Macaca mulatta: one gene and its partners. The protein of the gene in region 1 purifies or fractionates together with the protein of each later gene. This does not show direct contact. Links are inferred from orthologs where the notes say so. Each region holds a gene or a part of one and is shown in the gene's direction. Other genes may lie near its edges.

The links.
Region 2: the proteins of SLF2 (region 1) and SMC5 purify together in Homo sapiens (affinity purification with mass spectrometry; 3 studies listed by BioGRID and IntAct, with this or other methods). This does not show direct contact. The link is inferred for Macaca mulatta from reciprocal best matches to the Homo sapiens genes SLF2 and SMC5.
Region 3: the proteins of SLF2 (region 1) and SLF1 purify together in Homo sapiens (co-immunoprecipitation; 3 studies listed by BioGRID and IntAct, with this or other methods). This does not show direct contact. The link is inferred for Macaca mulatta from reciprocal best matches to the Homo sapiens genes SLF2 and SLF1.

What each region holds. Positions count from the first base shown.
Region 1 is NC_133414.1:113,006,570-113,010,225, forward strand, and holds part of SLF2 (SMC5-SMC6 complex localization factor protein 2), read left to right. Parts: intron 1-915; coding exon 916-1,092; intron 1,093-2,607; coding exon 2,608-2,705; exon of another isoform or gene 2,706-2,715; intron 2,716-3,336; coding exon 3,337-3,424; intron 3,425-3,656. UniProt on the Homo sapiens protein: Plays a role in the DNA damage response (DDR) pathway by regulating postreplication repair of UV-damaged DNA and genomic stability maintenance.
Region 2 is NC_133420.1:101,360,264-101,363,919, forward strand, and holds part of SMC5 (structural maintenance of chromosomes protein 5), read left to right. Parts: intron 1-2,326; coding exon 2,327-2,371; intron 2,372-2,792; coding exon 2,793-2,888; intron 2,889-3,340; coding exon 3,341-3,445; intron 3,446-3,650; coding exon 3,651-3,656. UniProt on the Homo sapiens protein: Core component of the SMC5-SMC6 complex, a complex involved in repair of DNA double-strand breaks by homologous recombination.
Region 3 is NC_133411.1:101,055,179-101,058,834, forward strand, and holds part of SLF1 (SMC5-SMC6 complex localization factor protein 1), read left to right. Parts: intron 1-8; coding exon 9-154; intron 155-1,884; coding exon 1,885-2,048; intron 2,049-2,848; coding exon 2,849-2,982; intron 2,983-3,656. UniProt on the Homo sapiens protein: Plays a role in the DNA damage response (DDR) pathway by regulating postreplication repair of UV-damaged DNA and genomic stability maintenance.

The sequences.
Region 1 (3,656 bases):
GGCAGGAGAATGGTGTGAATCTGGGAGGCGGAGCTTGCAGTGAGCTGAGATCACGCCACTGCACTCCAGCCTGGGCAACAGAGTGAGACTGTGTCTCAAAAAAAAAACTCTAGTTTCTTACCAGGTGATTTCCAGTCTCTGAAATTTCTTAGCAATAATCTTTGTATTAAAGATTGTTTTTGCTGTTTTTGTGTTGTTTTAATATTAGTGATGAACAGGAACTTTAGGTCAGTTACATCATTAAATAGTTTTGAAACCAATAGTTTTTTATAAGTAGGATGTATGAAGAAAGAAGTCTTACAATATAATTTAGTGATCAAGCATTAATGGCAGAGGCCGGGCACGGTGGCTCATGCCTGTAATCCCAGCACTGTGGGAGGCCAAGGCGGGTGGATCAGCTGAGGTCAGGAGTTCGAGACCAGCTTGGCCAACATGGTGAAACCCTGTCTCTACTAAAAATCGCAAAAAAAAAAATTAGCCAGGCATGGTGGCAGGTCCTGTTATCCCAGCTACTGGGGAGGCTGAGGCGGGAGAATCACTTGAACCTGGGAGGTGGAAGTTGCAGTGAGGCGAGATCACACCACTGCACTGCAGCCTGGGCGACAGAGTGAGACTCCGTCTCAAAAAAAAGAAGGTCAAAAAAAGTTAATGACAGTGTGAAACATTTTTAGTTGCTGAATTGAATCAGTGTTACTGAACCATTAAGAAAATCTCAAAAATGGAAAATGGAGAAGAAAATGCCACTTAATTCAACTATTAACGTGAAGTAGTTCTTGCCTTCTTTTGTCTAGACATCTGATGTTTGTTTTCTTTATAGTTCTTTTTTGCGTCTTTTGTCAAAAAGTTTATAATTAAAACCCTAAAAATAAAATACACCTTCTAAAATATTTTTGTCTGTGCATTTATGTTAAACAGTTTCTAGGCTTGTGTACATCTATACATCCAGAAGGTTACCAGGATCGTGAAATAATGTTGCTGATTTTAATGTTATTTAAAATGAGTTTGGAAAAACAGCTGAAACAGATTCCTCTAGTAGACTTTCAAAGCCTCCTGATAAACCTGATGAAAAACATCAGAGATTGGAACACAAAGGTAATGTTACTTAAAACTTCATTATTAATTTTTTATATAGCATTACAATTTGACTCATAGTGCATATGGAATTAATACTGTTTCTAAACTCAAGATCTTTGGCAGATTAAAAATGAACTGAGGAAGAGACTGTTTGCTGGAGCTGTATTATTTAAATTCATGATAATTGAATTTTTTCTAAAACTTCAGCTCTTTATCCAACAAAAATGTGTTTATTGGGGATTTCCTGTGGACTCAGCATTAATGTAGGTGCTAGAGATTGAGCTGTGAAAGAGACAAAGCCTTTGCCTTCATGGGGCTTTTGTCCTAGTCAAAGGGTTAGATAAACAAGTAAATGTTGATTATATTATCATGTCAGGTAGTAGTTAAGTACTACAAATTAAAATAAAGCAGGACATGAGTACAGCAAGACTGGATGCTATGCTATTTCATATAAGGCAGTCAGGGAAAGGCCTTTCCAAAATAACCTTGGAGCAGAGACCTAAATGAAATGACGGAGTGAGTCATACCTACAACCAGAATTTGAGTTGAACTTCTGCAACCATATGGAGGATGAACATGTATAATTTTTGTTAGGACTTTTTAAAAATTATATTTTTCAGTCTTTTTTGGTGGAAAAATTAAAATAGGCAGAAGTAAGGCAAAGAGTATAATAAATTCCTAAGTATCACTTTGCTTCAATAATTGAGACATAATCTTGTCTAATGTAAAACTGACCCTATATTTCCTTTCCCTGCTCATCAGATTATTTTGAAGCAACTGTTAGGCTTTTAAAAAAATTGATACACAATGGTAATACATATTTGGGGGGTGTTAGGCTTTTTTTTTTTTTTTTAGACAGCATCTCCTGTCACCCAGGCAGGAGTACAGTGATGCAATCTTGTCTCAGTGCAACCTCTGCCTCCTAGTTTCAGGTGATTCTTGTGCCTCAGCCTCCTAAGTAGCTGAGACCATAGACACACGCCACCCTGCCCAGCTAATTTCTGTGTATTTAGTAGACACAGGGTTTTATCATGTTGGCCAGGCTGGTCTCAAACTCCTGGCCTCAAGGGATTCACCTTCCTTAGCCTCCCAAAGTGCTGGGATTACAGGCATGAGCCACCACACCCAGCCAGGTGTTAGGCTTTTAAAAATACTGAAATAGGATCCCTAAAGTGCAAGAAATCCCAAATCAGGAATATATATAGTCTTGTACAACTCTGATACACATTTATGTTTAGATCAGTTTATCCTTCCAAGAAGGACTGTTTAAAGATATGATGTAGTACAAAACATGAAAGCCAAGTGAAATTCTGCTAAATGTATCTGTTCAGTCCATTTAAGATAGTATAAGTAAAACAATCTGTGTATTGTGTACATTTTAGCAGATTCTAGACTCCATGCTATTTCTAAAAATGTGTGCCCTTATTTTGTACTAGTGCTTCCATTATGGCAAGAAGGGATGTAGATGATCTGTTGGGTGTTTGATTTTACTGTTCTGTTTGAAAAGAAATCTTACATGTTCTTTTTTTTCAGGTGCGTGAACTCTGTCTGGGCATAAATGAACTCTCGAGTCATCCCCACAACCTTCTGTGGTTAGTACAGCTGGTCCCTAATTGGACATCACGTGGAAGGTATTGAAAAGTGAGAATTAAACATTAAGAAATTTTATAATTTTAGATTAATGAAATGCCTTGGTTCTTTATTTCCATTCATCATTCTTTGAATGTTAGATCAGAGATGTTTATTTCATATTCAGTTGTGAGAAAAGGCATTGATAGCCTGATTCTTTCTTACTCTAATTCTTAACTCAGGTCGTTATGTAATTTTTTTTTTTTTTTTTTTTTGAGACAGAGTCTCACTCTGTCACCCAAGTTGAATATTTTTTTATTTTTAATTTTAGTTTATCTGTTACCTTAATACAGATGACATATTCCACAAAAATAAATGAATCAGCTTTTTTTTGCTTTAGTAAAAATAAATTTCATCAGTAAAAAAAAATAGGTTTTCTGTCAGTAAATCATCAGGGTCAAAGATAAGGCTGTTAAATGATTTACTGAGCTTCAGATAATTCAAGTTTTATGTACAAATATTTTACATGAAAATTTTACTGTTCTATAACAGCTTATATGTTCCTGTACAGACTTCTCTTGAAACATTGCCTATATTTCCAATTAGAACTAGAGCTCCTCTTGACTCATTCATTTGCTTTTCAAGCAGTATTAATTAAAATACATTCTAAATACTTTTAACTTCTAATTCTAGGCAACTGAGACAGTGCCTCAGTCTAGTGATTATTTCAAAGCTTTTGGATGAGAAACATGAAGATGTTCCTAATGCCAGTAATCTGCAGGTATAAATAAATACATTTTTATTTTTAATAAATGGGAGAGGTAATGAGAGGTATAAGGAAAATTGATGAACCCTAAGTCAAAGGTCCTGGGGTCAGAGCTCAGCTCTCAAGCATGATACTGTTCATGTAATCTCTAGCACACTTAACTAACAAGGTCCAGTTTTTTCATCTGTGAAATGGAGATAGTATTGCACCCTCCACCACATAGAATGGTTGTGGACAATCAGCTGTG
Region 2 (3,656 bases), on another chromosome or scaffold:
AGTATATAATGCTACAATTGCCATATTTAACATATTTTTAAGATTATAGGATCTTAAGCATTGTAACAGGCCATGAAAAATATGATGTGTCATAAAAAATAGGGAGTTTTTCCACATTTTTAAACTGAATAGATATATAAAATAATGTTGCTTCACAGATCAATGTTATTGGTACTATAACATTTATTCTTCCAATACAAATGCCTTTTAATGGGTACAGTTGGAACATACAGTTTTCCATGGAAACATTGTGCCAGTAATTGGTATATCAGAAATAACAAATAGGACATTTTAAAAATAAAGGGAAAATGAAAATGTTTCCCCGGAAATTGGGGTGTTTAATTAGGGTTCAATGGGAGCTGAATATTTAGGACTAACATCTGCCAATAAGAAAAGGAAAAAAAGAGGTCTTACTTCCATTATATGTTTTATGCTGACATACCACTCAGTAAAATTAGGAGATGCTGCCCTTTAGTCACATCCCACTGTTAATTTACATACCTCTGTGACAAGTGGGGATGATACTTTGCCTGCATACCTATTCAGAATAATGTCAAAATGAAATTATAAAATAAATTTTAAAATATCTAGTATTGGTGTGTCTTTTTAAAATTCTTAATTTCAAATGTTATCTATTTCAATAGATAATGAAATGACTACTAAAGATATAAACAACTGGAAAAAAATTAATGGATTATAATTTTCAAATCCTCAACTGATTTATTTTATGATATCAGACACAGAATCACAGAATGGATTCGACTATTTGGATACATACTAGGAACTCAGTAGATATCTTTAAAACAAATTGAGAAGCTTATTTCTAAAAACAGTAGAATATCTTCAGAATACATTGTGTTGTTATAAAATAAATATAAGTACAATCTGTACTAATTTTTTCTTTCAGAAAAAGCATGATTCTGTTCTTGATAAGTCATACTGTTTTTGAATCAAAATTAGAAGATGATTAATCATTAAAATGTATTAATTACCTCCTATATGGCAAGCATTGAACAAGACAGACATACTTCCTTCTCAGCTGAAACTTATATTCTAGTCTGGAAGATTAGGTAGATGAAAACACAAATCAAAAATCAGATAATGTCAGATAACAAGAAATGCTAAGAAAAATAAAACAGGGTGAGGAGATGGAGTGACATGGATGGGAACTTGGTCAGGGAAGCCTCCTTTGAAAAGATACCATTTTATAACAGTCCTGAATGAAGAGAACAGATCAGTCAAGTGAAGATGTGAGGGAAAACTATTCCAGACAGAGAAAACAACTTAGACAAAGCCCAGAACAGAAGTATGTTTGGGACATTTCAGAATAAAAGGAATCTCATTGGGGTTAAAAATTATCCAAGCAGAGAAGAAGGCAGAGGCCAAGATTATGTAGGGCTTTTAGACCATACAAGGAATTAAGGTTGTATTCTTTTGGGATGGACTCCAGTGGAGGATCTTAAACAGAAAAGTGACATTACTACTTTTATGAAAGAGCACTCTTAACTTCTGTCTTCTAGATGGAGGATAAAGTAGGGATACAAGAATGGAAGCAATGAAACCATTTAGGAGGTCATTTCTTTGGACCACGCAAGAGATATATAATGGCATGAATTAGGGTGATAGCACTGAAGAGAGAGAGGGAGAAGTTGACAGATGTTAGATATCTTTTAGTGACAGAGCCAGCAAGACTTGCTGATGGATTTGACATGAAGGATAAGAGAGAGAACCCCTAAATTTTTCACCCGAACAAATTACGGTGCTATTTACTGGAATGGAGAAGATTGAAGGAGAAACAGGGTTGCTTGAAGTGGTAGGTAAGGTGGGTGAAATCCAGATTCTGTTTCACCATCTTAAATTTAAGATGCCTGTTAGAGTCAAGTGAGGATATCGAGTAAATAAATGTTGGACACATGAGCTTAAATCTCAGTGAGTACGTCAGAGATTCAACAAAGGAATATTTGAAGGTCTATAGAAGTTGAACTGCTTTCTAAGAGGTTAAAATAATAAGCTGAAGATATTAGATTAATATGTCAAGATCTTTTTCAGGGTTTCAGGATTCATTTTGTACCATGTAGTATACAGCCTTTGCAGGTCGTGCTAAGTCAAACAATGTAATTGTTTGCCTCCCCTCAAAAAAAAAAGTGTCTGTTCTAATTTGTCCCCATGGCATGGACTCAGAAGATAGTACCGTGGTGAAATTCAACTGTCAAAGTAATTAGATACTAAGGATGCTTTTTTAGTTCTTCATAAGTGCAGTATAAAGTTCTAACTTCTTGCTCTCTTTCAATGCCCCACATATTCTGGACCCATTCTACCAATTCAGCAAGTACCCACCATTCCAAATGGACACAACTCCTCACTCCCCATGGTATGCAGTACTCATTCTTTTTTCCCAAGCTCCTGTCTTCCCTCTGCCTTGCTCCTCCCTAGCCATTTGCTTTAAGGCCCAGAGATGAATTCTAGGCCTTTGGATTCTCTTAACTCTCCTATAGCATGAACTGATACTTCTTTTCTCTAAATTCCCTAGCCTATAAGATATGTACTGCTTGTTTGAATACTCAACATCAATACGTTGCCTTAAGGTGTTATCCAGTACATACATTTTGTTTTCTTTAAAATACAAACTTTCGAAGGCAAATGACCCTGTTTATTATTCCTTTGTATCCTTGTGTACCAGCATGCTGTAGAACAGATAGTAGATAACTTATTCAGCAGATTATTTTTCTTTTAACTATTTGAATGGAACCGTTTTCATTGTATCTATAATGATGGGCAATTTTTTTCTTTAGGTTTTCCAAGACCTTCCAAACACATTGGATGAAATTGATGCTTTATTAACTGAAGAAAGATCAAGAGCTTCCTGCTTCACGGGACTGAATCCTACAGTATGCCTGTTTCTCTACTCCCATTCTGCATCCAGCCACCACCACCACCACCCTCCCCATACACACACATACACACACAGAGTTCCCTCCAGTACTTGCCTCCCACTCTGTACTAGAGCTCTTGGTAATGATAAGCTAGACAGCAGGAACAATGTGCTTTAAATGCCAGATTCTGAATCTATTAGAATTTTAAATAGATTCTTCCTAAGGAACACAATGTTCTGTGCCTTTTCTTTATAAAAAGAATAGTCGGGCTAACCTGAAATACTGCAATGTCTAGTTTTTCAAGGATAAAAAATGTCACTTTCAGTATGTAATAAGAACATAAATTATTTGCATACAAACTACAGCACAATTGCCATTTTCAGTTAATGTTTTAATCAATGCAAAATTGTATATACTTTTATACTTTGGTAGATTTATCTTAAAGAAGTTTTTTTTCCCCCTGCCAGATTGTTCAGGAGTATACAAAAAGAGAAGAAGAAATAGAGCAGTTAACTGAGGAACTAAAGGGAAAGAAAGTTGAACTAGATCAATACAGGGAAAACATTTCACAGGTAATTTTTTTAGTTTTTAATCTTTACTTTTTATCATGTGATTATTAATGAAATGGGAATGTAGAATAATGGAAAATGAGATGACATGCTTAAGAGAAGTGTGTTATGCCCAGACTGATACTGATATAAAATTTACGTGAAATTTTGTGTCACAATATAGTAATACTGCTTTTAAATTATGTTTTTATATTGTGTTTATTTGTAGGTAAAA
Region 3 (3,656 bases), on another chromosome or scaffold:
TTCTCCAGACTTTTCTTCACAGGAATTAGAGATTTTCATTTGCTCCTTTTCCTCCTCCTGGCTTCAAATGTTTGTTGCAGAGGCAGTCTTTAAAAAGTTGTGTCTACAGAGCTCTGGTAGTGTGTCTTCTGAGCCACTCTCTCTTCAGAAAATGGTAAGCACCTCTCTATTCTGAAGTGAGTTCACAAACTCAATTTTATTTATTTATTTATTTATTTATTTATTTATTTTGAAACGGAGTCTTGCTCTGTTGTCCAGGCTGGAATGCAGTGGTGCGATCTCGGCTCACTGTAAGCTCTGCCTCCTGGGTTCATGCCATTCTCCTGCCTCAGCCTTCCTGGTAGCTGGGACTACAGGCACCGGCCACCACACCCAGCTAATATTTTTATATTTTTAGTAGAGACAGCGTTTCACCACGTTAGCCAGGGTGGTCTCGATCTCCTGACCTTGTGATCTGCCCGCCTCGGCCTCCCAAAGTGCTGGGAATACAGGCGTGAGCCACTGCGCCCGGCCCACAAACTGAATTTTAAAATATTCTTGGTTATTTCAGGTAAGTAGGCAGAATATATTAATTCATAAATCTTTCAATTCTGCATAAAAGCTAGTATATTTCTATCTCAAAATAGAGTAGTGAAAGCCAGCGGCAGTGCTGAGTGCCTGTAGTTCCAGCTGCTCAGGAGACTGAGGCGGGAGGATTGCTTGTGCCCCAGAATTTGAAGCTATAGGGCATTATGATTGCACCTATGCATAACCACTGCATTCCATCCTGGACAACATTGTGAGACCCCTTCTCCAGGGGCAGTTTGGAGAAGATAATCACCAAATAGAAATTTTAAGGTGGAGCATGATGGCCCCTTCCTATAATTCTAACACTTTTGGAAGCTGAGGCAGGAGGATCCCTTGAGCCCAGGAGTTCAAAACCAGCCTGGGCAACATAGCAAGACTCTGTCTCTAAAAAAAGTTAAATTGGCTGGGCATGGTGGCACATGCCTGTGGTCCCAGCTACTTGGGAGGCTGAGGTGGGAGGATCCTTAATCCCAGGAGGTCGAGGCAGCAGTGACCTGTAATAACCACTGTATTCTAGCCTAGGTGACATACTAAGACCCTGTCTCAACAACAACAACAAAAAAAAAAAGAAAAAGAGATTTTAATTTCTTTTGAGCAGAGCCAAGGGTTAATCATAGAAAAGTAAAAAAATCCTTGTTCTCTAATAAAATTCGTATGTGAGGTTATTATTTTGGAAAAAACTAGATCCAACAAAATTCTAAATGGTATTTAAAAAGCAAAATATTATGCATATAAGCTACAATTGATTTAAAGTTTTCCAGTTTTATTTTGGCTGTCTTTAGATATTAATATCCGGTAGCTCTAGCAATTTTTTAATTAAATGAGAAATACGTATATTGGTCAGATTAGGCAAATTCTGTTTTGCAGCAATCCTTGCCTTTAAGGATGTTTTTATTCCTTATTTTGTTTTCTATTGAAGAAAGACTTGTTTTCTGTTAAAAAAAAAAAAAGGCATTATCAAAATGGAAATTAAGAAATACCAGTTGTATGTAAATCATACATATGAAATATGCAAATGAATCATACACATTGGGCATAAGACTAATCAAAAGAGCTTTCTTAAATGAGGATCAAAATTGAATTAGAAAAAAATAATTATTTTTAAGAAGGTATTTTTCTGTTTGTTCACATGGTATATTGACTATGACACAAAGCTAGCTTTCTTAATATTTTATTATGTTCAACCAAGATAGAGTGGCAACCATAGTGATGCAACCAGGAAAATATAACCAAATGTAATAATGAAATGAATCAAATAATTTCTCTTTACTGCGGTTTTTGTAGTTGAGAAAATAATGCGATATTATTTTTCAACAGGTATATTCCTATTTACCAGCCTTGGGGAAAACTGGTGTGCTTGGGTCGGGAAAGATTCAGATATCAAAGAAAATAGGACAGCGGCCTTGTTTTGACTCTCAGAGAGCCTTACTAATGTTGAATGGTACTAAACAAAAACAAGTCGAAGGGCTGCCGGAGTTACCGTAAGTGATGCTGATATCCCAGCTGTGCTTTATTTTGGAGTACAGCTCTTTTTCTGATGCATTTCTTGAACTTTATGGTTATCTGTGATACTGTCTGAATTATATTGATTAGACCAAAACTCAATTTTTAGATGTATTTGATCAACATTTTCTGTTTCTGTAATTCAAGGTACATGCTTTCTTTCTGCTTCCCAAAAGAAATAAAACTGGTCATCCAATTATTGATGCATTGTTGATGAAATACAGTTTTACACAATTTTTGTTCTATGATTTGAATTACTACTTTGCCATAATATAGATGGAATTTCAGAATGCATGGTCATATGAGATATCCTATATCGTAATAGTAGTTTTCCCAAAATGAGAAACCACCTCTAAAAGTATAGGGTGTATAAAAGTGTATGTCGTATAAAACTCAGTAAAGTTCTGTGAGAGGAAGAAGAGAATAGAATCAGAATATGAAACTGAGAATGGGGAGCAGAGACCTGCTTGATCTTAGCTTTCTGCTTTATTCTCTCTGTCAATATATGGTTTAACTGGTCTTTTGCTCTTTATTTGACATTTTGTATTTATAAATTTAGTGAGCAGTTGGGGGAGTAAGACTAATAAAAGAAAATTAGTGCACTGAAATTTGTTTCTACACAGTTGAAATAAATTTTAAAATTAGAAAGCAGTAAAGATTGAATGAGCAAGGGGGTTTAAATTAAAAGGAGGCTAGACTTTTAAAAAATACCATCTAATGTATGCTGGCACGCCTTGCTGAAAAACAAGCTTTCCTTATTTCTTAATTTTCCTTTCAGAGACCTGAACCTTGCTAAATGTTCCTCAACATTAAAAAAATTGAAAAAGAAGTCAGAAGGAGAATTGTCCTGTTCCAAGGAGAATTGCCCCTCTGTAGTTAAAAAGATGAATTTTCACAAGACTAATCTAAAAGGTATTCCAAGTATCTAAATTAATTTATGCTAAGAACTTTTCGTTGTTATAGTCAGTACTTGCAGGTTTCACACATTTGCCCTGATGAATACTTGAACTTAAATATTGGACTAGGTCCAGGAAGTACCTTCTTGGATAACGTATTATTTTCTTGAACTGTCATTTATGCAAAGAAAGTGATTGTTTAATACCCAGTATAATAGAGTATTCCTTCCTTTTTTTCCTCTCCTTGCCGTTACAGATATGAAACACAGTGTAGCATTCATTGAGCTCATTCCAGACTTGCCCGCCTTACTTTTCTATTCCATCTCAACCTGTGCTGCTTAGGATCAGTGTCTTCTGATTTGAAAGTATAATTCAGTCTTCATCTCTTTCAGTCCTAGACATTTTGTGAACAAAGAATGAAGAGTAGGCTATGTTACATAGCTGTGTTAAGCATATGGGCTCTTTTCTTCCAGGCATTGAGCCCAGACTATGAAATGTGTTTGGCTTTTGGTTCTAACTATACTGGAACCTAAGTACCTAAAGGATGAAATAACAAGAATAGCGTAATAATTCACTTTGGCACCTCTTTTACTTAGACACCTCTTAACTTGCAAATGAATCTTCCGGAAGTCTTTACCTGGCCAAAGTAAATTGCTGAGTCTTTTTTGTTGTTGTTGTTATTTATGAGTT